Linked DNA regions of Arabidopsis thaliana. The protein of the gene in region 4 interacts with the protein of the main gene of each other region in a pairwise test. Each region holds a gene or a part of one and is shown on either strand. Other genes may lie near its edges.

Region 1 (6,316 bases), on a different chromosome or scaffold from region 4:
ATTTTGCTTGCTATGATTTTTTTTTCTTTTCGCATTTGTTTATATTATTATTTTTATTTTATTTTCTAATCCTTCAAATTATTCAATTTTTGAGATTTATGCCGAAGTTGTGTCACCGTACCGTAACTTTAGCAAGTGGTGTGGATTGTGGATTGTGGATTATACATGAGGGTAATGTCAATCCTAAATCATATAAGCACATTTTCTTGAATGAGAATGATCTCTTGAGATGAATAAATGATCTCAATTTCTGAAGACAACTCATTTAAGTGACTACCTTAAGAAGGGTCTTGAGCTAGACAACATGGAAGAGATGTACAAGAAGGTAAATGCAGCAATCCGAGCTGATCGGCTCCAAACAATTGATAACCAATTTTTGGATCCAACAGGAAATTCTGATGCTGCTGAAATAAATCATCAGTGGTAGCAACATCGAGAAAAAACAAGAAAAAAAAAAGCGTATGATGAAAAATGTTCATTGATAAGACATATTGGGCTGTCAAGTGTGAAGCCAGCTGATATTAGGATGAGGTTTGTTTTGTTCCCGCTGATTTGACACATGCTACCAGATGAGTTGTTTTCCTCTGGATTCGACAGGTAATTTGTCTTACGTCTTAACTATGTGTATTTGTAGTTTTGGAGATCTTAATTTTTTGTTATCTAGATATATTTATAAGTTTGCATTCATACTGATATTTAAGTGTATTTTCAAAAGTGTTGTGACTCAACCAAACGTGATCATATCTTCTTAACTTGAATCGCATGTTAAAGAACACTGTCGTTCCAAGGCTTAATTATAACCTATATATGTTGCCCACCCACGAGATAAAAACAATTATTTAGTAATTAGTGTCTCCTTGGATGTTGTGAAGAAGTTGGACTTTTGCATATTAATTCTCCCGCCAGTGTCGCAACAAAGTCTTCATGCTCAGAGTATCAGTTCACATTCGAAACCTGATCTTTCTTACTAGTCTATTGTTATGAGATTGGTTTTTTGGAGTGAAAATGAGCTTCGTGGAACTCTCATCAACCTCGTGAGAACATAACTTCGTGATTGTGTTCTTTGACAAGAAAAGTTGAGCTGTAGTTTTTTTTTAACAAGGTTTTGGGATGACCAGTAGTAAATCAATTGTTGTAATAATTTGGTTGGTAAATATAACATTTGTTTTCTACTAAACATCCAAAAATGGAGGTACGTGAATGAACACATGGTGTGTTGTAACAATTAATCTCAATATGGCCAAACCAAGTCTTCTCCATTTCTAGTCCTTGTCTCTACAACGAAGCTATTGCGCTATTTGTTTTGTTTGTGCAGTACGCTTCCTTCTTCTTATTGCCTTTCTTCTTAGGCGTCATATGACTCTCTTGCATCCTCAAAAACTATGCTGATTAATTTATGCCACACCACCATTTCTCATTGAAAGCTAAATCGAAATTCAAATAAAGTCCCAAAAACATGCAAAAGTTTAATTGACCAAAAAGCTGAAAAGCTTGATGGCGTTTCAAACTAATGCACTAGTTAATTCAATTTCCATAATTACGTAGTAGTTTTTTTGGAGATTATATATTTATTATTCACGAAAAATGTGGATAAGACAAATAAAAGACAAAGCATGCTGCATTGCTTGTTCTACTTTTTCTTTTTCTTTTTCAGACATTTTAGCCCAACTATATACTACTCTTGATTAATTTGAATAGGATTACATAGTATTCCATAACACGAGACAAAATAACAATATTTGGCAAATAGAAATGTTGTCTAGTTGTTTTCCTCGTAGATAAAGATAGTAGTCTCGACTTTAATAATTGGTTTGCATAGAAAAGAGAAGATAGTGTTTTGTATAGTACTAGGCAAAAGTCAAAAAGATTCTTTTGAAAGAGAGGACCCAAATTTACTTGACGTAATTATTGCATTTCATATACGTTCTTCTTCTCTCCCTACTTGATTTTTATTCAAAAACACTAGCATTAAGTCACTCTTTCGTCCTCAGATAGTGCGCATTGCAGAACACAAAATCTCTACAAGAAAACCCCAAAAATGGACGGACTTTGCTACGTCATCTTCATCATCTTCTCCCTGCTATCCTGCGCTTTCTCTCCCTTATCATACGCCTCTCCGGCCACTTTCAGTCGCCGTCACCTTCTTCAAGCTCCTGTAACTGATCCTTCCACATTCTCACCGCCGTTCTTCCCACTTTACAGCTCCACCTCTCCTCCTCCTCCTCCTTCTCCGCCGCAGCCTCTTCCGCCTCCCGCCCCCACTTTTGCGACATTTCCGGCGAACATCTCCGCTCTCGTCCTCCCTCGCTCCCCTAAACCGCAAACTCCTTCCCGTACACTCCTTATTCCTGCTATCTCCGCCGTGCTCGCCGCCGCAACATTAATCGCCTTGGCCTTTTTCTTCTACGGACGGTGGCGAGGGCAAACCAGTCATTTCAAAGATGAATCCAAGAGCTTAGCTTCAGACATTAGCCAATCCCAACAACAAACTCTTCCATGTCCCCCTCCAAGAAACAACAACACTCAAAACAAACTCTCTGTAGCTCCTTCTACCTCCGATGTTCTCTACCTCGGCAACGTCGTCACTTCCTCCGGGTCGGGTTTTGTTAAACCGGAGTCACCAGATATCTCTCCTCTCCCGCCATTACCTGCCCGTAGCTTCCTCCTGCAACATCACTCTGAAGCTAATCTTGATGAAGAAGAAGAAGACGACGACTTTTACTCGCCTCTCGCGTCTATAGCTGGTCAAGAATCACGAGACCGGAGAATCAATCCGTACAGTAACTGTTCTTGCTCTATCTCTTCACACTCGGATTCTCCGGCAATGTCACCGTCAGCTGCGATGTCTCCACCGATGAACTCGACGGCTCCACATTGGTCAACTAACCAAAACACTCACTCTCCGTCGTCGCCGGAGAGAACAGTAAGGAACAATAAGAGATATGGTGGGCAGTCGCTGAGAATGTTTAGCCTCTGGAATCAAAATCTAGGGTTTCCAAGAATTTCCTCTGCTTCTACTTCACCAGAGAGAGGTATGATTAGAACTCCAGACGCATATGCTCGTTCTTCTATGTACTCTTCAGTTTCCACCACGCCGGATCGGTTTTTCCGCAAGGTTCTTGATAGTTCGCCGCCGAGATGGAACGATTTCAGTCGAAATGTCAAGTCTTTGTTTCTTTCTTCAACTTCTGCATCACCTGCTAGAGATTTTTGTATCAACATCTCTGAATCTTCTAGAAGTTTGAAATCTTCTTGGGAAAAACCAGAGCTTGATACAACTCAACAGAGAGAATCGGCCGCTGCTGCTGTTACTCTTCCTCCTCCACAACGACCACCACCGGCAATGCCTGAGCCACCTCCTCTTGTGCCACCGTCACAGTCTTTTATGGTTCAGAAATCTGGAAAAAAGCTATCTTTCTCGGAGTTACCACAGAGTTGTGGGGAAGGAACAACAGATCGACCTAAGCCAAAGCTGAAACCTTTGCCTTGGGACAAAGTCCGACCAAGTTCTCGTCGGACAAATACTTGGGACCGTCTTCCATACAACTCTTCAAATGCTAACTCTAAACAGAGAAGTCTTAGCTGTGATCTTCCGATGCTAAATCAAGAGAGCAAAGTTTTGGATCCAAGGAAGAGTCAAAATGTTGCTGTTCTGCTTACAACACTTAAGCTCACCACAAATGATGTTTGTCAGGCCCTTCGAGATGGTAAATCATCAATGACAAAGCTAATTTCTTCTCATTATTCGGATTGTATCGAGTTGAATCTGACTTGTCTTTTATTTCATCAGGTCACTATGATGCACTTGGAGTTGAGCTTCTTGAGAGTTTAGCAAGAGTGGCACCGAGCGAAGAAGAAGAGAAGAAGTTGATTAGCTATAGTGATGATTCAGTGATCAAGCTTGCTCCATCAGAGAGGTTTCTCAAGGAATTGCTTAATGTTCCTTTCGTGTTCAAACGGGTTGATGCATTGCTCTCTGTTGCTAGTTTTGACTCCAAAGTCAAACACTTGAAAAGATCATTCAGCGTTATACAGGTATAAAACAAAGATGAAGATAACAAGAGACATTTATGAATGTGTATGTTGTTGTAAGCTTACGTCTCATAAAGCTATATGATTCTTTTGCAGGCTGCTTGTGAGGCACTGCGAAATAGCAGAATGTTATTGAGACTTGTTGGAGCTACCTTGGAGGCTGGAATGAAGAGCGGGAATGCTCATGACTTCAAACTTGAGGCGCTCCTCGGCCTTGTCGATATCAAATCGTCAGATGGAAGAACCAGTATCTTGGATTCTGTTGTACAGAAGATCACTGAATCAGAAGGAATCAAAGGGCTACAAGTTGTCAGAAATCTCAGTTCAGTTCTTAACGATGCCAAGAAATCTGCAGAGTTGGACTACGGTGTTGTAAGAATGAATGTGTCAAAGCTTTATGAAGAAGTTCAGAAAATTAGTGAGGTTCTGCGACTGTGTGAGGAGACTGGACACAGTGAGGAACACCAATGGTGGAAATTCAGGGAGTCGGTGACCAGATTCTTGGAAACTGCTGCTGAGGAGATTAAAAAGATTGAAAGAGAAGAAGGTTCCACGCTCTTTGCAGTGAAAAAGATAACAGAGTATTTCCATGTTGATCCTGCAAAGGAAGAAGCTCAGCTATTGAAAGTATTCGTAATCGTGAGAGACTTTTTAAAAATTCTAGAGGGAGTATGCAAGAAGATGGAGGTGACTAGTTCTCTGGCTTAGATGTCGTGTCATAAAGATCCTAGGATCTGTCCAAGACTAATGTATTGTGTTACCTTTATAAGTTATGTACTTATATGTTTGTATGAATCGTTGGAGAGCTACGTTGTATGTAAATAGATGCAGCTTTTACAAACATATAAGTGGCTTGAAGACCATATAATATCTCAAACTCAGAGATCCACTTTATTCTTCTTCTTTGTTATTTATTACATTTTCTTAGTTTACTGGTTCTTTAAGAATCCTTAATAAATAATATTCAGTCAAGCCTCGAAATATGAAGTACATAAGATGAATCTCAAAACAATACTCACAGAATACAATGATTAACATTTAATCATGCATATAGTACATAAGATTATATTATTTTCTATATATAGTATGTTACAGAGAGTATTTCCGAACCAATCATAATTACAAGGTTTATCTGAACTGGTCACTCTATTACACTAATAGCTCTGGTGAGTCAATGCTTGATACTTCCTCTATATACCGTCAAGAACTCCATCAATCGCCTGGAAGACCTGAGAGACTACATTCTCATCGCCTGTTATAATAGCAGTACCCATCTCTGAGAACTCTATCAGGCCACTGTTAGGATTTTCTATATGGATTATACTCTTGTCTTCTGATCCATTATCACCTGTACTCTGTTCGATGGATCCTTTTATTCCCATTTTCAGTAATGCGTCTAAAAGTAATTCCGGAGCCACTGAGCCCCAATGCCTCAATGGCCGAGCCTTTCCTGAACTTTCTTCCTGCTCCAACCCGGAAACTAATCTGTGTTTCCCATCTTCCATCAGAAGCCCACCTTTCAATCTTGCAATACCGAAGCTTTCACGTTGCCTCAGTTTTCTCCAGCTCAATTTGGAGGCCAAGTCTGTCGTAATCTCTACGCTTGGATTGTCTACAATTCTTGGTACATGTAGCGTCTTGTTCTCAAAGTAATTCAGGATTGAGATGGTCTTTATCGCAGCCAAACTGATCCTCTGATTGACAGCATCAGGGACCTATTCATAATATGGTATTAGATAGAAGAATATAGACAGATGCAGGATGTAAATATTTCTTCACCAGAGTGGAAGAGAATACTTACCAAGAAAATCTTTGGCTGCAAAACGGATACAAGTGTTGGGAGCTTCTGCAACCTGCAAAAGAAACTACAGCATTGAGCAATGGTAGACAAGCCAATTTAGATCACACATTTGGCCGCTGGACTACATGATGACAAGCTTAACTTGTGAGCTGCCATGATATTTGGAAACTAATATTTTGGGATATAGTGAGATATTACTGGTCATTAAATAGCAACAATGCATATGTGGTGAGTCAAATCTATACTATCAGTCAAGGTATGCCCTTGCACAAGAACCCAGGTTAATTCCTATTTTGTGCAGACACAACTCAGATTCCTTGATCCAAGACGACAGAAAAAAACAACTACGAAGCACCAGAATAAAATGTAGTCTTAATCATAAAGCCAAGCAAACCTTACCTTATTCCAGAAAGAAATGAACATTGGAGAATTTTCATCGCTATCGGTCTAAAAGGGAGAAGTCCTAAACCTGAACTAATCCCA
Region 2 (5,725 bases), on a different chromosome or scaffold from region 4:
GTGCCAGCATCCATAATTTGGTTCCTCAAAGACAACAATTTCGAGGCCACATCTAAACCAGCATACTTCAAGTCATGTATCCTTATTTGTCTGCTTGGAGGCTTTGGCCTTGAGTCCTTCCATATCTCATCCACAAGATTTACATTGTACAAGTAAACCAACTCATGATTCTTCTTTGCTATAACCTCCTTCAATTCCTCAGCAGCATCGGCGGAAAAAAGGAACTGCTCCCTTCATGAATTCCAAAGTCTTGTAAATAACAAACCACAAACTACAATATTTAAGGACAAAAGGAGACACAATTTAGAAGGTTTAATAATAGCTTACAGGGTCAATACCAACTCTTCCACCAGGCGCCAAAACATCAGCTATCCATTCACTCGCCGTGGGGACTCCCGGATTACCAGCCCGCATGAGAATCCAACTAGAGTTTAATTGCTTCTCCGCCTTTGATAGAATAATTGCAGAGAATGTAGATAAGAAACTCCACATTTCCTTTCAATATGAGATGGCAATCAAATAATTTTAAAGGACGATAATGATCAAAACCTGAAGAAAATAGCGGCCATCTGTCCATAGAGCTGCCTTATCCTTGGTGACAACAGCGGTACCAGCACTTCCAGTAAATCCTGATATATAAGCCCTCCTGGCATAGCACTCTGCGATGAACTCGCTCTAGTACAAAATATGGAGAAAAATCACACTCAAGCCATGAAAAACTCAGGCAGTTTATGGATACATTTAGAAGTAAAACATAAATTTGTGACTTTCCTAATGGCACAGAAATATATTACAGGCAACATCAGTTATGAAAGTAGATCTTAAGCTCCTAGTATGTAAAATTCACCGAAACAACACATTACCCATATCAAAATGGCAAAAACAATTGCATAGATGCATAACAACCCCCGCACTGGTCCAAATCATATTTATTTTTTATCTTGAATCTCCAAATCGAATTTGGTATACTCAGGGACAGCAAGATTGACGTGTGAGCGGAGCAAGAAACTTTGGGGAGAATGAAATAAAACACGAGTTGGAGAATTTCATACTGTGATTTAGAAGAAGAAGAACTTCCATTTGGCTCTACAATTGAAACATCCTCTTATGACAAGTTGAGATTTGACTAGGAAGAAAAATCTGAATGCATTTTCAACCCAACATATAGAAGATCAGATACCACCAAAGCCGTTTCTTACAATACCATAAAGTAGAAAATTACAAAGACAAAGAGTTTATGCATAACACAACTGACAGATATCATAACAAACATATACGTTTCACAATCACTCAGAGAAATTGTGAGAGGTGATGGTGTTCAACGAGCACTTGTGGTGACTACTCTGCGCTTGTTTCGATGGAATTTTTCCATGAACCACTCGTGTTTGTGTGCAGTAAAGAAGATATGTCCAATAACTAATCCACAAAACACACCAGGTCCGTAGGCTATTGCCGCTGCTATCCAGTTAATCACTTGTTCTTCTGGTTCCGAAAATTCCTCGGATTCTAGTGGTGTAGAACTCGGGGCATGAGCTTTTCCACAGATTTTCTCAAGACCGTAGAGTCTGAGGTTGTCCATGAATGTAGAACAATGTTGGCTTTGAAACTGAGTGCCTAGTGGAACTGGACCTTCGAGAAGGTTATGGGAGAAATTCATGGTCGACAGAAAAGAGAGGCTACCAAGATCTCGAGGGATGTGACCTGATAGCTGATTCCGGGATAGGTCCAATGTCTCAAGATTTGTCAAATTTGCCAATGACTGAGGGATATTGCTTGTGAATGAGTTACCTGACAAATTGAGAAGACGCAATTCCTTCAACAAACCAACGGATTCAGGTATATTCCCAAAAAATCTGTTTCCAGAAAAGTCAATGGCTCTGAAGAAATATGGGATCCGCAAGAAGTCCGTTTCTACTCCTTTATATATCATAGTCATCGAATTACTATGGCTGAACTCGGGCCCTTTCTCGCCCATGTACCAATCCTCTGTACCTATATTAGAGCCGTTTTCTTCTAAGACAGATGTCACCATCTCACGCCAATTGGAGAAATATAAAGGTGACAAAGTTCCACTGAAGCCATTCTGTGATATATCAATGAGTCTCAAATGTTGAAACCCAAAAGATATGTGGTCATAATATAACGACCCATAGAATGCATTAGATCTGAGGATGAGGACACGTAATGATGGCAAAGAAACCAACCAGGATGGAAAAGTGTCCTTGATTATGTTGCTTCCCACATTCAGAAGTTCCATACCAGTGCAATTGATCAGGGATTTTGGAAGTTTTCCCTCCAACCGGTTGTAGCTAACGTCAAGTGATAATAACATGCTAGCATTGACAAATACGTCTGGGAGAAATCCGCTGAAGCTGTTGTTACGCAGAACTAGCCCTTTAAGCCAATAAGTGGAATTTTTCAAACAAGGAGGAATTGAGCCGTTGAAGAGATTGTTGGACAAGTCTAAGTACTTTAAGAACCTTTGCTTGCAGATCCAATGGGGAAAAGGTCCTCCAAGTGAATTCGAACCAAGATCCAACTCCTGCATTGATTCTCCATCCAAAGCTCCGGATGATGACTTTCCAAAACTGTTGAAAGAATTGTGGGAAAGTGTCACTGTCATCAATCCCCATAAGCAACCTGGCACTTCGCCTTCCAAGGTATTGTTTGAAAGACTAAGATGCTGAAGGTTGACCAACTTTGATATAGAAGTGGGGATTGGCCCAACTAAGTTGTTGTGGCTAAGATCTAGTACTATGAGACTGTGAATTTCAGATATATATTCAGGGATTGGCCCATCGAATTTGTTATCAGCAAGGTTTAGATCCCAAAGCCTAGAAGATGAAGATATATTCCCAAACTTTATAGGTCCCATGAACTGGTTTCCTTCCAAATAAACAATTTGTAACGAAGGAATCGTGAATAAGGATGTAGGAAAAGTCCCGACAAATGAATTCTCACGCACATCAAAATATTTCAAGTTGTGGAGTCCACTCATATCAGATGGAAGCGTGGATTTAAAGTGATTAGAGGCAACGTTTAAGGAGGACAAGCTGGTTAAATTTGGTAGTATGAAAGAGAAATTTTCCAATGTGAACTGATTGCTAGAGATGTCTAAACTAGAAAGCTTCGTTAAATTGGTAAATGAAGTAGGAATGTTACCACTAAAACTGTTTTCGGAAAGTAAAAGGTCTCTAAGTTGGTTTAGCTTACTGACCGAAGCCAGAACTTCACCTGTCAGCTGATTACTCGAAAGGTCAAGATGCGTGAGACGAGAAAGGTTTCCTAGTGAAGAAGTAACCTCTCCATAGAGATGGCAATCACTGAGAGTCAGGTTCTGGAGTTGTTGGAGTTTGAAAAGACCACTAGTTGGTTTCAAAGAGTTGTTGAGAAGGACATAACTAAGGTCAAGTGAAACCACCTCGCCAGATTCATCATCGCACGTGACACCCTCCCAAAAACAGCAATCACTAGTCTTGTTCCATGAACTCAACGATGGACTTGGCTTCGATTCACTTACCGGAAACTCGTGTTTGAACTCGAGAAGAGCATCCCTTTGGTCATGGCGGCAATAGTGAAGCCTAGAAGAAGCAAGAGTGCGTAGAACAAGGGAACCCAGGAGGAAGAAATACAAGGTAATAACACTACCAGAAAAGGAATTAGATTGGCTTGGAATCATTTTGTTTGTTTTGTAAGTAACAGGTTATGATAGCTATGGCTTCTACGTCTCTATTTAGAGAGAGAGAAAAATAGAAAACAAAACACAAATTTGCAGCTCTCTAGTAGACTTCTACCTACTCCTTTCTATAGTCAAACTTGCCCACTTGGACCAATAATTGACTTAAAAACACACACAATTGAACAGTTTTGAATCTACTAGAACTTCCTATTCAATTCGTAATCACGAGTTAAGAAGAGGTTTAAAAAAAGAGAACCTGATGTGCATCTTGTGAAGGTATGATATAAGCGTCGATTCCAACACCCGGCTCCGAAAACAGTCGCCGGATCGAGCTAAGCTTCTCGTCGACAACTACTTTGGTTTGAGCTTTACGAATCTCTTTGGAAGACTTTGCCGTGAAGGAGGAAGAGCTGCTGCTGCTGCTACTAGCATGACACCTTGCGCCAAAAAGAGGTTTATACGGTAATTTCCGGTGGATCAGAGAGAGCGAATTGAAATTGCTGAGAAATAGAGAGTGTGAGTAACGTGATGTGGATAAAACGAGCCGATTCAGAGACGGCGACGAAAGAGTTAGAGGAATCATCACCAGCGATTGCAGGAGAATCACACAAGAGGAGAAGCTTCTTGAGCAGAGTGATTACGGATAAATGTGTATAACTACTGAAAATTGCAAAACAACCCCCGTATTCTTTTAAATGTTGTATAATGTGCATGACTATTGATAATTACATTAAAATCCCAGACTTGTCAAAAAGAAACATTTTATTTTGAAACAATCTCATCAAATTCGTTATGGTAAAGGACAGCCAAGAGAGACGTGTGCAAGAAGCAAGAGTCTTTGGGTGCGTAAGAAATGTAAACGTGTTCGAGACTTTCATGCTGAGAATTTCGATTGGAATTTTGGTTTGACTTAGAAAGTTTTATGAGAAAGACTTAATACCGCCTGAATTAAGGGTTTCCACGAAAGAGACAAACGATAAATTGCAACCACACCAGAAAAGAGAAAAATAGATACTAATATTCTTTATATTGATAACCATGGGGTTTAGAATTCAAAACATATTTTGAGATATGAGTAGAAGAAGTTTCTGAATGCATTATCGAGCCAAGATTTATTACAAAACCTTGCAACAATGTGGTTTGGGACAAGAAGCTGACCATGATTTTAACCTGATAGTAAAACGGGCCTTGTCTCTTGACAGCTGAAAGTCTGAAACAAGATCATAATATTTCTCAAGCGCTGAACTAACACAAGTAAGGGAATGGAAGTGAATACTTGTTCTGAAGCAACTGGCATGAAAATGTACCTCTCAAGTATCTGGTTTTTTCTAATCTCCTTCCGTGAAAAGAAAGATTCTTAGGGTACCAAGGCAAAGGCTTGATTGCCTCCAATTCACCACTCTCTATGGCCTTAAGTATGCTTCTTATGTCTATCATCAATGAGACACTAGAAAAATGAAAGAGTCATGAATCAACCTCAGCCCGAAGAGATTTCATGAAATCATTCTCCAATTTCAATCAAATCCCATCACAAAATTGACCACTGAAGAATCAAAAACAGAGGCCACTTAGTCAAAAAAAACTCTGAAACTCCATAAACGAATCCCACTCTTCAGCTTTCACTATCCTTTGTTCCTTACACAACTTCACAACAAGACATTACAATGGTGTTTATTAGAAGTAAAGTTTCAAAATCCATGGAAGCCATTGATTCTATTGAGGTACCTTGTAATACTCCTCGAGTCCTCATCCTCGAAATGAAGATTTGAGCAGATGGGCTTTTGGAGGTTGGAATCAAAGGAAGCATCGGATTTGAGGGGGTTTTCGAACATTCTCTTGGCTATTTAGAGTTGATTTCTCTTCCAAGTTGTGTCGTCTCCATTTTTGTTGTTACAGTGGCCGAGCTTTTTGTTTTCACAGCGATGGGTTTGATGGGTTTACATTGGTTTTGAAATTCAAATTGATCTCGGTTCGGTTTAATTTGGTTTAGAGAAGAAAACCAAAAAAAATAAGACACGCGATGGATTTTTGAGAGTGAGTTGCGTG
Region 3 (7,931 bases), on a different chromosome or scaffold from region 4:
AGAAAATATTCAAGTTTTTTGTTGGTAAAGAGACATTGAATAGGCAGAAGACGTTGCTATAAACTGAACCAACCATTTTCAACTTGTTCACACACATAACCGTTTTCGCATTAATAGAAAGAAATCAAAATAAATATGCTCTCATTAATCCTCTTACAAACATGGAACCCGGATCCTGCTATGGAAAATTATATATGTTGAATGTTCTAGTAACTAATGTGACCGTAACTAGCCTGATAAGCTTATGCAAAAAAAAAAAAACAGCTTATGCAAAATCATGGCATGTGAGTAGGCGAAAACTTATACAAATACAATCAAAATAATGTGATATTAATATAGGTATGTTTACATATCTCGTGAATTGATATCCAATGGACCTGCAAGATTTTCATCTAATATAACTTTCATTTTACGAAGAAAATTATACTTTGGAATTTGATGTGAGTCGTGAACTAGTCGTCTTTCTTACTTTTTATGATTATGAATCCTAACTTCTTGGTCCAACCTATATATATACAAAGATTTCATACCGAAAGTCAAATATATGATATTATGGAGATGTACTATGTGAACAACAAATGTATAATTATGAGACTGGTCCAGAGAAACATTAGATGGAAGCAGATTTGTAGTCCATGGACCAAAAGAACTAGTCCAAAACTTGATAATTATCAAACAAAAGTTTTTGATCAATTACAAAAGGAGTTAGGGAAGCATGTAACATAAACAATGACAACATATTTTGGATCAGTGAGCATATATAAACAATAAAAATACCATAATCCGATGAAAAAAATCATCAGAGATTTGCAAAAGAATCATTTATGATGGATCACCGCCAAAACACACACAAGGCCACAACCAACATAAAACCAAACCAAACCAAACCAAACAAAACATCCACACTAATATCACATACGACCACAATCACAAGTAAATACAATGAAGTCGTACAAATAAATGACCACCAAAAATTATATTTTTGTAAAGTAAGTCAGGGAAATCCAAAATCCTTAATAACCATGGGATTTTTTTTGGCACAAGTTATCGTGCTTTTGGGTTAATTTCGGTTGTAAAGCTTGTGCTCATTTCAACAGAACTTCTTGATCCCATGTCTTCTCTCACTCCTCGCTTTGAGTTTTCTAATGTTAGACATTGCTTTAGTTCATTAGTAACTTGAGACATGGTTGGTCTTTTCTCCGAAGAAGGATTCACGCAAGACATTGCTATCTCAAGAGCCTTCCAAACAGAAGTAGGCTCATAATCTCTATTGAGTCTTGGATCCACAACGTTCTCAATATCTCCCTTAGTAAGCATGTATCCCACCCATGCTGCTATGTGCGGCTTCTCTCGGGTTTGCTGAATCACAGGTCGACTTGTGATGATCTCCAATAATACAATCCCAAAGCTATATACATCACTCTTTTCGTTCAACCTATTTGTTCGATAATATCTACAAACAAAACATGAAGTATTTTTTTTTTCAAATGAATGAGGAAAAACAATTTGAATCAAACTAGTTTGGTGATGTAAAACTTACTCGGGATCCAAATATCCAGGAGTTCCAGCAACAGCTGTTGAAACATGAGTTTCACCTCCAACTGGAAATGATCTTGAAAGGCCAAAATCGGCGAGTTTTGCTTGGAAGTGTTCGTCTAAAAGTATATTTGTTGTTTTTACATCACGATGTACCATTGGAGGTTTGCAACCCGTATGCAAGTATTCTAATCCTATATTTATATAATTAAATTGTTCATGTTAGATGATCCATATAAAGTGATTAATGCATTTGAGCTAAGAACGAACCTTGCGCAGTTTCGACGACAATTTTTAGTCTACTTGACCACTTCAATGGAGAGCCACCCCGTTCTCCTATAATTAAGAAACTTTTAGTAATGTTATAAAAGCATGAACATTAAAATATGGCTAAGTAATCACTATTTTAAAATGTGGGAAATTCAAATTTATACCTGATAGATGTTGTTTTAAGTCTCCGTTCGGTGCATACTCATAAAGCAGGGCCAAGTTGCTTTCTTCATCACAATATCCAACCAAACTAACCAAATTGACGTGGTGCACTCTCAAAAGAAGTTCAACCTGACCACCCATGTCCAAACAAATTTAAGAGCCATCACATGTTACAATATATTCCATGTATTATGTATTAACATACCTCAGCTTTGAATTCCTTATAGCCTTGTACTGATGATTGAGAGAGTAGTTTAACAGCTATTGGTTGCGTACCATTTAAAATACCATGATACACTACCCCAAACCCTCCTTCTCCAAGAACTCTTTCAAAATTATCTGTTAATGCTTCTACCTCTGAATAAGTGAACCTTTTCGTTTGAGTAAATATAGACGGTCTATTTGGTAACCCATGTTGCACTGTAGGTAATGAATCAACTGTCACAACCAAAAAGTTCCATGAGATTAGGCATCTTTTGGTATGTCATCATCATGCATGCATGTTACGATAAGAATATATATCTCATTGTATAATTATGTACCTTGCGTTGGCCTTCTCTTTTTGAAAACAAGAATGAGAATCAGTACGGCTATAATGATGAGCACAGAAGCTACTGACGCAACAACTGGTACAATGTACGTTTGATTGTTATTATTTTTGCATGACGCATCGTTACACAACTTTGGGTTTCCTTGGATCCTTAAGAAAATAAGTGTTGTTGAATAAGACTATAGGTTGAGGAAAGTTGATAAAAAAAAAAGAAGGGTGAAAATCTTACGTTAGCTTAAGCCCATTCTTTTCTCTATCAAGAAGCAATTTAGGAAGAGGACCCGTAAGGTCATTCCAATTTAAATTTCTGTCAAGGTAAACACAAAATTACAATGTCAATGTAAAGTGACAACAAGTATACCTAGTGAAATATAAGTGGCCGGCCATTATGTTTGTTTATATCAACTTACATGATCGATAATGACTTCATGCTGGCTAGAAACTCGGGCACTCCTCCAGTAAAACTATTATTTGACAAGTCTCTAGTATTTATAAAACGTTAAAAAGTCAATCTATTTTCCGTTAATAGGATAAATAAAAAAATAGTATGAGATGAGATATTTTTTTTCGTCCAATTTGTTATAAGATGTGAAAAATTAGAAATATGTTGGTCACAATATAAATGTTTTCTCATGGATCGCGTTTAAGTAAAATACTAATAGCTCTTACAGTTTTCGAAGCTCGGTCAAATTTTGGAAGGCAGGCGCAATGACCCCTTTTAACCCTCGTGATGACAAATCTCTGTTCACAATATAAGAACATTTTTTCAGATATAAGATACTTAAGACTTAAGAGATTTAGGTTTCAATATGCTTATGAGATATATAATGATCGTACAAAGAAATAATTCTTGGAGGAGTAGACTTATTTGTGTAGCTGCATTTTAGATCTTCCCACTTTAATAGTTCAGGGACACAAGGATCTCCTTGCCAACTAATCATCTTCAATCCATAAAATGCTTCGATATCCTTCATAGCAGCGACTAACATAATGGTTCGAGGAGGAAGCCAAGAATTAGCATATAAAAGATTAAAGTTTCTTAATGAGGGTATGTACTAAATAAACAAAAATTCCACCCTATTATTTGCAAAAAAAAAAAAGATTAAGTTGGTTCATTTATCGCGCTATTTTTAACAAATATCATGTCATATTTCATAACACAATTTTTAACATGGTAGTACAATATTTCAAATTAAACACGATAAACACATGAATATTTTCTCCGTTTTGTGACCATTATTTTTCCCCCAATTTTGTGATTGTTTTTTTTTTTTTTGCAAATAAGCCCTTTCTTACAGAATAGAGAATGGAATAGTGGCGTACCGTCATTTGGATTTGTTTCAGCGTATGGAAAGTCCACAACCTTGAAAGCCTCAATAGCACTAATCAGCGGTGGAAGAGTTGACCTTGGAGTTCTAACGAGTTTCAAGTAGCACAACCCGGAGCTACATTTGTGAGGTGATAGGTTATATTTGGTATCTGATTGTAACATCGTAGGACTATATGCTGACTGAATAATATCTTCTTCCAATTCAATGTCGAATTCTCTAGTCTCATTGCCCCTCAAAGCTTGGATTTCGGCAAAGTGAAAGTACACGTTAACCTTGTCACTGTCGTCATCTAGAGACACGTAAAATCTCAATGGCAAGCTGGCATTTTCGGGCGTGATTCCCATCCTACTTACAGCTTCTGGTACTTGAAAGGGACTCGAGGATCTCACGTTGAGGGTGGTGTTCACATCCGTTTCAAATTCATTATATCGGTCCCATTTGCGATCAAAAATATCATCAGGATACCTAAAACCATTTTTGGAGTAGCCATGCAAAAGTAAATGAATCATGTTAGATTGTTTTTTTTTATAAAAGAGTTGCTAAAGTTGAGTTTACATACCGTATAAAACCGGTAGAATTGCTACTATAGGCCCGCCGGTAGATGAGGTCTAAGGGACCGAATTGAGTCAAATATGAATCATTTCTTAGTGGCCGTAGTTCCAAGGTTGATATCATTGGTATAGTTGATCCTGTTTTGACAAGACAAATCTGCAATAAGTTCGACGTTGTCATGTAAATGATCTCACGATCTTTTCCGAATTCCAAATCAACCGCAATCCACATGTTAGGCCCAACATGTAAATCAAATTTGGGATATACATTAAGACCATCATAATTTCCATATCCGAACCCTGCTCTTATCAAATAGTTGATGCCTTGCTCTACTTTCAGATTATAGCAGTTTCGTATTCCATCGGGAAAATATCTCAAATCCTTGTACTGCCTGTAGATATATGTGTTATCATCCCCAGCTTCACCACGTAAACCACTTAAAATAAAATCAGCATCAGATGAGAATGTTAATCCGGTTCGTGGGTCGGTATAAGGAGACTCATTAACGGGTAAACCGCAATCCAAACTGATGAATCCTGGCAAGATACAAAATGTATTATTAGTGAAAAATAATGTTTTCCTTTTGTTAGACCATGAAGCTTATAAGGAAGACAATCAAAAGTTTTGGAAAACAGAGAATCCTTTATTTTCTTTAACCAAATCTCTTATATCTGTAATCGTTAATATTATTTTCATGGTGGCTATGCGTACAACAAAGTAGAAATCGGTTAGTGATCTCGACCAGTCGAGCAAGAACACTCAACTACTTGGCTAATCCTTAAGTCTTTATGTGTCAAAAACTGAACATGAAGCAATTATTAAAAAAAGGTATATAGAGAAACCTCGTTGATCAGGCGGCTGAGCTTGAACAAGATGTGTAATGGCCAAAGCCCCAAAGATGAACACCAGTAAACGTTGACGACGACCTTCCATTTTCAAGTTAAGTTAACATACAAATTTTTGAAACCAAAGACAATCTGAAATATATGATACAATATATTGATTTTCTAGTACAAATGATAGAAATACTTTAGATGAAGATCAATTAAAATCCAAAACACATGTTGGCGTGGAATACTCTCCAATTATAGATTCATATCCAAGCACGACTGAAGAATGGTCTAACAAAGATATATACATTTATATTCCACTTTGTGGAAAAAAGAGAGCAATTTAATCATAAATCAAAGCACCTGATGTAATCTTTGTTTAAACAATGTAAAACCTGCCAAGTTGATCTAATGTCAAAGCTTTATAAACTATATGATAATTCTGCTAACGACTTGTACTTAACAACAACTTGGTGGATTTAATACATTTTGTTGACTTTCACTCAATTATAATCGCAATACCTCTGCAATAATGTAAAATTCTTGGTCTTCAAAAATAAACTAAGATTAGTCTTTTCTTGACAAACCCTAATATTCGTTTTGTTTGCCTGTATATGCATTATCTATCTATGGCTTACTCATAGACGTTAAGAGATAGCTGGCCTCTTATAGTTATAGCTCATATTCTCAGTATTACTATACATTGTCAACCAAGAAATTCTACATCAACCTTTGTTAATATCCCTTGTTAGGTGGGATTTAGTGGGAAAAGAGATCAAACCTTATTTTGGAAAGATCATTTCCAAACGCTACTGGACCATTATCCACTTGGTTCACAATTTGCTTTTTTAATGGAGCTTTGACAATCGGAAACTGTATGTGTTAACTATATAAAAATATTAATTATGTGATAATTCTTATTTTTTATTGTTGCTTTTTTAACAAGTTTGTAATAGTTAAAGTGTGGTTGTAAATATATTTTTAAAATTTAGTACTGGCTACCTTGATGCACATTATTTGTATAAATACCTGAGTTTGTAAGAAGCAAATCATTGAATCAAACAAAATGATCTTTATCTTTATTTTTTCCTGTCCATGTTGTAATATACGAATTCTCTCTTTTACATAATTATTCTACAACAAGTTACATAAGTTACGTCTATAATTATTGTGGATCAGACGTAATGTTTCTTTATGTGAATCAGACGTAATGTTTCAAATAGGTTGTAATATGTAATTGTTTTTCATATGTAGTAAATCCTTTTTTGTAACGACCGGGTTCAAACTAATTACTTAAATCAAACCTTGTTATATCCTTGTGCTCCAAGTCTAACGATCAATCGAAGATTTATTATGTTTGGTCAAGGGTTTAAAGAAGACATATACAAACCTTAATACAAGGAAATTCCTATACATGTCGGAGTCTTATGATCATAACCTATTATTTTAAACACAAGTTGGGGTTGGAACATGTCAAAGAAATTCACACAATAAACCAAAAATAAAGCAATTCTCGCAATTATTCAATCTTCATGTCTGGCTTAAGTTGACTTTCTTTAATGTATTATTCCTTCCAATCTGTGTATGTGAGGTATTTCTCATTTACGTAGCTCCTTGTTTTCACTAAGCAAGTCTTTTTTATGTTCTTGATTTCCATATTAGCTTTCCAAGAAGATGATGAGCCATCTTTTGTTGGCCATAATTGGAACCTTTGCCGTTATAGTTGGCGCCCAAAAACAAGAAGGTAATAATTTATAAACTCTTTAGTAGATATTCACCGAGGATCATCCATCCTTTAAATTGATATATCTTCTATATATAGTTTTTTTTTAAACTTCGTCGATCCTTTTTATGCTTGAACAGGTTTCATCAGTTTGGATTGCGGATTTCCTATTGAGGAATCTCCTTATAGTGATCCATCTACTGGATTAACATTCACATCAGATTCAACATTTATCCAGACTGGAGAAAGTGGTAGAGTCGATAAAGAGCTCAACAAAATATTCCGAAAACCATATTTGACTCTAAGATACTTTCCGGAAGGAAAGCGTAATTGTTAGTCTGAATGTCACTCGTGGCACAAATTATCTTATATTGGTTACCTTCATATATGGAAATTATGATGGTCTTAATATTTATCCAAACTTTGATCTCTATCTTGGTCCTGATAAGTGGGCAAGAATAGATATGGAAGGAAGACAAAATGGTACATTCGAGGAGATCATACACAGAGTGAGGTCAAGCTCTTTGGATATTTGTCTTGTTAAAACAGGACCAACCTCGCCAATAATATCATCTATAGAACTACGACCAATGAGAAATGATACTTATCTTACGCATTCAGGCTCACTGAGGAACTCTTTCCGGGTTCATTGCAGCACTTCTGATAGCGAAATAAGGTAATTAGTTGACTTTGTTTAAAACAATAAGTGGGAGTTTTCTGTCATTAATCATACATGGCATCAATTTTCTTATACATAAATTATTGTACTTTTGGTTAGTATATAAACATCGTTATTCATGATTAACTTGGATAAAAAAAAACAAGTTGCAACTATCACCGCACGACATGTTTTGTTTTAATCAATTTTCTACATTTTTTTTTTTGTTATTTATTATCAAACTATCATATCGTTATACAATTTTTTTAAACATGTAAACAAAAATGATTCGTGTATGAAATAAATGTAGTTTGCATTG
Region 4 (4,619 bases):
TCTTCTTGCAATAATTGGTATTACAAATTACGAAATTACCACAATACGAATTATTGTTTTTTTATTCTTCTTCTTTTAAAGTAAGAAATCCATATCCCTATACTTATATTTCGAAATTACATAAAAAAACTAACCTTGTATTTTATAAAATATTACTTAGGAATACCATTAGAAATAGAATTTAAAGGTCCAAACTAATTCAGTTCATTAAAATAAACAAGTCAAAACTTTATTTATGCAATTTAATTATAAACCAAAAAGATGCATTTATGGGTTTAACTTGTTGACAGCTTATTTTATTCATGAATTTACGTTGAGGTTGTTGCGATTTCTACTTTAAGCAAACGGGAAACATCTCACAGTTTTGACTTGTGATCTTTTATCCTACTCTTATTGGTTCTAAAGTGCATACACGTAAGCGTATACATAAGCACTCGCATTTCACAGTAGCCAATCGATTGATTCTAATCTTTGAACATGTAATACACTTCATGGCCACTCTTTTTTTCCGGGAACTATCTTTTTTTTTTGACATGGAAAAAGACCATTTTTTGATTTATAACGTGCATACTGCTGTGTCTTTTTTCTAAATAAATAGTTTTTATCAAATATGTAATCATACTAGGGAAAATCTCATCAAGATCATACGTATTTTTGTACATGACTTTTAAATAGTATATTCGCCGAAAAATACGTTGATGTCTCGGAATTTGACGCCTCAAAAACATTAGAATATACAAAATCAAGTAACGAGTTTGTAGGTTGAAACTAAAATGCCACGTAATACAGTGCGTAGGGTCCATTCGATGTTTCTAGATCAAAGTCTACACACTATAGAGACTTCCAGATACAGATACACATTCGAAATCATCAATGAAAAATAACAATTTAAGTATCTTCTTATCCTAATGTGTGTGTGCTTTTTTTTAGTCAACTATTTTGTGTATATTGTAAGATGTATCATGTTATGACATGAGTATGTTGCTACGTGTCGTGAGATATCGAACCCAACGCAGATATGAGTATGTTGAGCTAGTTTCTTCTTATGAAACAATCATATATGTCTATAATGAATAGATCACATTATCTGCCTGAAAAAAATCCCGTATATTACTCGACGAAATATAAATACCCAATGTAGCTGATTTTGCTTTCTCTGGTGACATATCCAATTTGGCTAAATTTGTTAACTAGTCTATTATAGGTTTATAATAGATCTAGCTATGTTAAAGATACTAAAGCATCAGTTACATAAATTTTTGGCGCGAGTTTATATCTTTTGGAATTAAAAATAAGAGAATTTAAAAATAAGAAGATCATTTTGTTTGGCCACAGGAGTTCTGAAAGGTCAGGTATGATTTTTTTCTTGCTCGCTCTTATGATTTTGTTTTTATTAATGGGTTTTCAAATAAGAAAAACTGTTTTTCGAAGCCCGGTTCAGATCCATTGTTTTTTGTAAAATATAGGCCCAATTCACCATAAGTCCATGACCAAAACAAAAATAAGATAGAACCAATACTGAACCAGGATCTTCTCTCGCTTTCGTGATCAATGTCGCCAAGCTTCTCGAGATCATGTGGTCACGTCAATTGTATAAATACAATTATTGACGTAACACAATCTCTACAGTTCCATCGAAATATCTCGAAAATTTCCAGTTAATTCTGGTAACGTGAACGTATCTTCCACCTCTTCAACCTACACAGCTTTCTAGAAATTTGGCTCGCTTTTCTAAGTCCTCTGTATTTTTTTGCACGTTTTTCAACTAAGTTTCAATATGAATCATTTCTTCTATAAATAAATGATATTTTCATCAGGTAATGATACATTGTGCCGAAATAAAACGTCAATACTCATTAGTCAAATTAATTGTTCACATAATTTAAAACTGTGTTAATCCATCCAGTTATTTTCTTACAACAAAATAATCTTTTCCATCAACTTTTAAAATAATTAAACGCAGTGCTAAGAAATCTAAAATCTTGATTTAGAAATCCATTATGGTTTCTGGTCAACTGAAATCCATAATTTCCTTTAACATCCAAAATCCAAATTTGCTACTATGATAATAGATTTCAGACGATTTTTTTTCTTTTTTCAATCATAGAGTCCACACGAATATTTGCAAGTTACTATATAAAACACTATAATGGTCAACAGATAAAAAAAAGGCGAATGAAGATATGTTACGTAAAAAGAAAATACTGTAATTATAAATTATTACTTTAAAAAGCTTTAAAATCTGGCCACATGTTTTTAAAGAGTGGTGTGACGTAACGACTAGAGTCAGCACAATCCATTATTGTATCATAAATATTCTCATCTATAAATTACCTAAACCCTTACAGGTAGTGTCCCAACCAAACAAATCGAGAAAGACGAACACTTACAAAAAAAAATCTCTTTGTGAGCTTTAGCGATCGTAACAATGGCGAACGAGGTGATTCTTCTTGATTTCTGGCCGAGTATGTTCGGGATGAGGACAAGGATCGCATTGAGGGAGAAAGGTGTTGAATTTGAGTACAGAGAAGAAGATCTAAGGAACAAGAGTCCTTTGCTTCTCCAGATGAATCCGATTCACAAGAAGATTCCTGTTCTCATCCACAATGGTAAACCGGTTAACGAATCTATCATCCAGGTTCAGTACATTGACGAGGTCTGGTCTCACAAGAACCCTATCCTTCCTTCTGATCCTTACCTGAGAGCTCAAGCTAGGTTCTGGGCTGATTTCATTGACAAGAAGGTATCTTATTTCCTTTGTGCCCTTGATTGAATAATGTTGAAATTGAACTTGGGATTTCATAAAAATTGAAACTTTAGTTGAGTTTGCTAGTGATTGGCTCAAATTTAGGGTTTTGCTTGTAGACTCGTCTTTGAGCTTGTATGGGTTTGTCTGATGTTATAATATTACTTGAGTTTGTAGTTGTTAGGGTTAGAGATCTCACCTCCAAATTTCAGATTTTTCTTGTGGACTCATCTCTGAGCTAGTCAGGGTTTGTCTTCTTAGATAGTTTAATGTTATGTTACTTGTGCAATTTGAGGTTTTTACATACTAGTTTCGCTAGTAGATATCATCTTTGAGCTTTGTTTGGGTTCATCTTAGATAGTTTGATGATATGTTTCTTTTGCAATTTGGGGGTCTCTAGGACTGGTTTTGCTTTGTAGACATCATCTTTGAGCTTTGTTTGGGTTCGACTGAGTTCTGACATAGCTTGGTGTTATGTTACTCTGTGCAATGTTTCAGCTGTATGATGCTCAGAGGAAGGTGTGGGCGACAAAGGGTGAGGAACAAGAGGCAGGGAAGAAGGATTTCATTGAGATACTCAAGACTCTTGAATCTGAGCTTGGAGACAAACCTTACTTTAGTGGCGATGACTTTGGCTATGTAGACATTGCGTTGATTGGATTCTACACATGGTTTCCAGCATACGAGAAGTTTGCTAACTTCAGTATCGAATCTGAGGTTCCGAAACTGATTGCTTGGGTTAAGAAGTGTTTGCAGAGGGAGAGCGTGGCTAAGTCCTTGCCTGATCCTGAGAAGGTTACTGAATTCGTCTCTGAGCTCAGGAAGAAATTTGTACCTGAGTAAATATGTTTCTCTTGTCATATGGTTCGGACTTAAGATGCTCTCTGTTTTACTTTCGTGTGTTGTCTTTCTTAAATAATGCAGAGCATCTGTGAGGTGGTTTGAGTGTAGAGAATGTATGTCTTTGCTGTAGCAGATTCCTGTGTTTTCTGGATTTAATGGCTTGTCCTAGTTTTTATGCATTGTAACTATGAGTTTAATTAATGATCGTTAATCTATAATGATTATTAATTTGTTACTTTGATATGTAATTACGCCAATACGACTCTTCTACCTGACCAAGCTTATCACGCCAATGTTGCTGTAAAAGACAATAGTGCAGTTTGGCGATTAAAACCTCCAACATCGAGAATGGTAAGCCGGTCTGGATCTAATAAGCCCAAATTGGCATCCATAAGCCCAAATTGAAATTGGCATCCATAACTCCATATTGTAGTCAATTGGAAGTTATGTGGTTGATGTGATCATTAGTGTCGGTATGATCAGATTAGCCACGGGTTTAGTGTTTCTTGCCGAATTTGAATTCGGTAGATCAAATAACATTACTATGATCCGCACAGTTCATGGGATTTGAATTTGATTTACGATTACAACAACGATATTAACACAGAACTATCCTGTAATTTTTGGGATCGATTAGTAAATTTTAAAATATTATTTCAAAGGCTTTATATATATAAAGAATTTAGAGTATAAACATAGATAAAGCATTATGTATTTATAAATCTTATGCTGATATTGAAAAAATAATGGTGTATGTGATATATTTAATAGAGTGCAATACTCTCTCAATAAATTAGTATAGCTGTTATCACTCCTTGTGTAAATGCGTATTTCTTGTACATGCATGGTAAGTAGCTTGTCCTCGTATGTACCGGATTGTAATGTTTGATATCAAATCAAGGGAATCACGTGGTAAATGTACACCCACCTAACTGAGAGATAATAATACAAACAACTGTGAGTAGGTGGCCACGCCAAAAGTAGAGACTGATGCAGCAACTAAGCAAAGTATTACTTCACTCGATCAACT

The links.
Region 1: the proteins of GSTU19 (region 4) and AT3G07540 interact in a protein complementation assay, tested with the Arabidopsis thaliana proteins (one large-scale study listed by BioGRID).
Region 2: the proteins of GSTU19 (region 4) and RLP30 interact in a protein complementation assay, tested with the Arabidopsis thaliana proteins (one large-scale study listed by BioGRID).
Region 3: the proteins of GSTU19 (region 4) and AT2G28960 interact in a protein complementation assay, tested with the Arabidopsis thaliana proteins (one large-scale study listed by BioGRID).

The regions. Positions count from the first base shown.
Region 1 is NC_003074.8:2,403,187-2,409,502, reverse strand, and holds AT3G07540 (Actin-binding FH2 (formin homology 2) family protein), read left to right. Parts: upstream 1-1,868; 5' UTR 1,869-2,038; coding exon 2,039-3,707; intron 3,708-3,790; coding exon 3,791-4,035; intron 4,036-4,128; coding exon 4,129-4,740; 3' UTR 4,741-5,010; downstream 5,011-6,316. Other genes in the region: AT3G07530 (integrator complex subunit), read right to left, coding at 5,223-5,747, 5,834-5,885, 6,233-6,316. UniProt on the Arabidopsis thaliana protein: Might be involved in the organization and polarity of the actin cytoskeleton.
Region 2 is NC_003074.8:1,529,582-1,535,306, forward strand, and holds RLP30 (receptor like protein 30), read right to left. Parts: upstream 3,781-5,725; 5' UTR 3,680-3,780; coding exon 1,319-3,679; 3' UTR 1,087-1,318; downstream 1-1,086. Other genes in the region: AT3G05350 (Metallopeptidase M24 family protein), read right to left, coding at 1-224, 328-447, 550-675, 3,936-4,262; AT3G05365 (uncharacterized protein), read right to left, coding at 4,795-4,889, 4,987-5,126, 5,405-5,511. UniProt on the Arabidopsis thaliana protein: Receptor for microbe-associated molecular patterns (MAMPs) that induces a BAK1-dependent basal immune response to necrotrophic fungi (e.g.
Region 3 is NC_003071.7:12,437,014-12,444,944, forward strand, and holds AT2G28960 (Leucine-rich repeat protein kinase family protein), read right to left. Parts: upstream 5,580-7,931; 5' UTR 5,335-5,579; coding exon 5,244-5,334; intron 4,938-5,243; coding exon 4,409-4,937; intron 4,315-4,408; coding exon 3,842-4,314; intron 3,501-3,841; coding exon 3,356-3,500; intron 3,260-3,355; coding exon 3,188-3,259; intron 3,001-3,187; coding exon 2,929-3,000; intron 2,826-2,928; coding exon 2,748-2,825; intron 2,669-2,747; coding exon 2,511-2,668; intron 2,407-2,510; coding exon 2,174-2,406; intron 2,098-2,173; coding exon 1,971-2,097; intron 1,873-1,970; coding exon 1,807-1,872; intron 1,731-1,806; coding exon 1,541-1,730; intron 1,454-1,540; coding exon 1,045-1,453; 3' UTR 705-1,044; downstream 1-704. Other genes in the region: AT2G28970 (Leucine-rich repeat protein kinase family protein), read left to right, coding at 6,906-6,975, 7,095-7,286, 7,576-7,630.
Region 4 is NC_003070.9:29,485,629-29,490,247, reverse strand, and holds GSTU19 (glutathione S-transferase TAU 19), read left to right. Parts: upstream 1-2,240; 5' UTR 2,241-2,428; coding exon 2,429-2,743; intron 2,744-3,244; coding exon 3,245-3,589; 3' UTR 3,590-3,861; downstream 3,862-4,619. UniProt on the Arabidopsis thaliana protein: Catalyzes the glutathionylation of 12-oxophytodienoate (OPDA). In vitro, possesses glutathione S-transferase activity toward 1-chloro-2,4-dinitrobenzene (CDNB) and benzyl isothiocyanate (BITC), and glutathione peroxidase activity toward cumene hydroperoxide.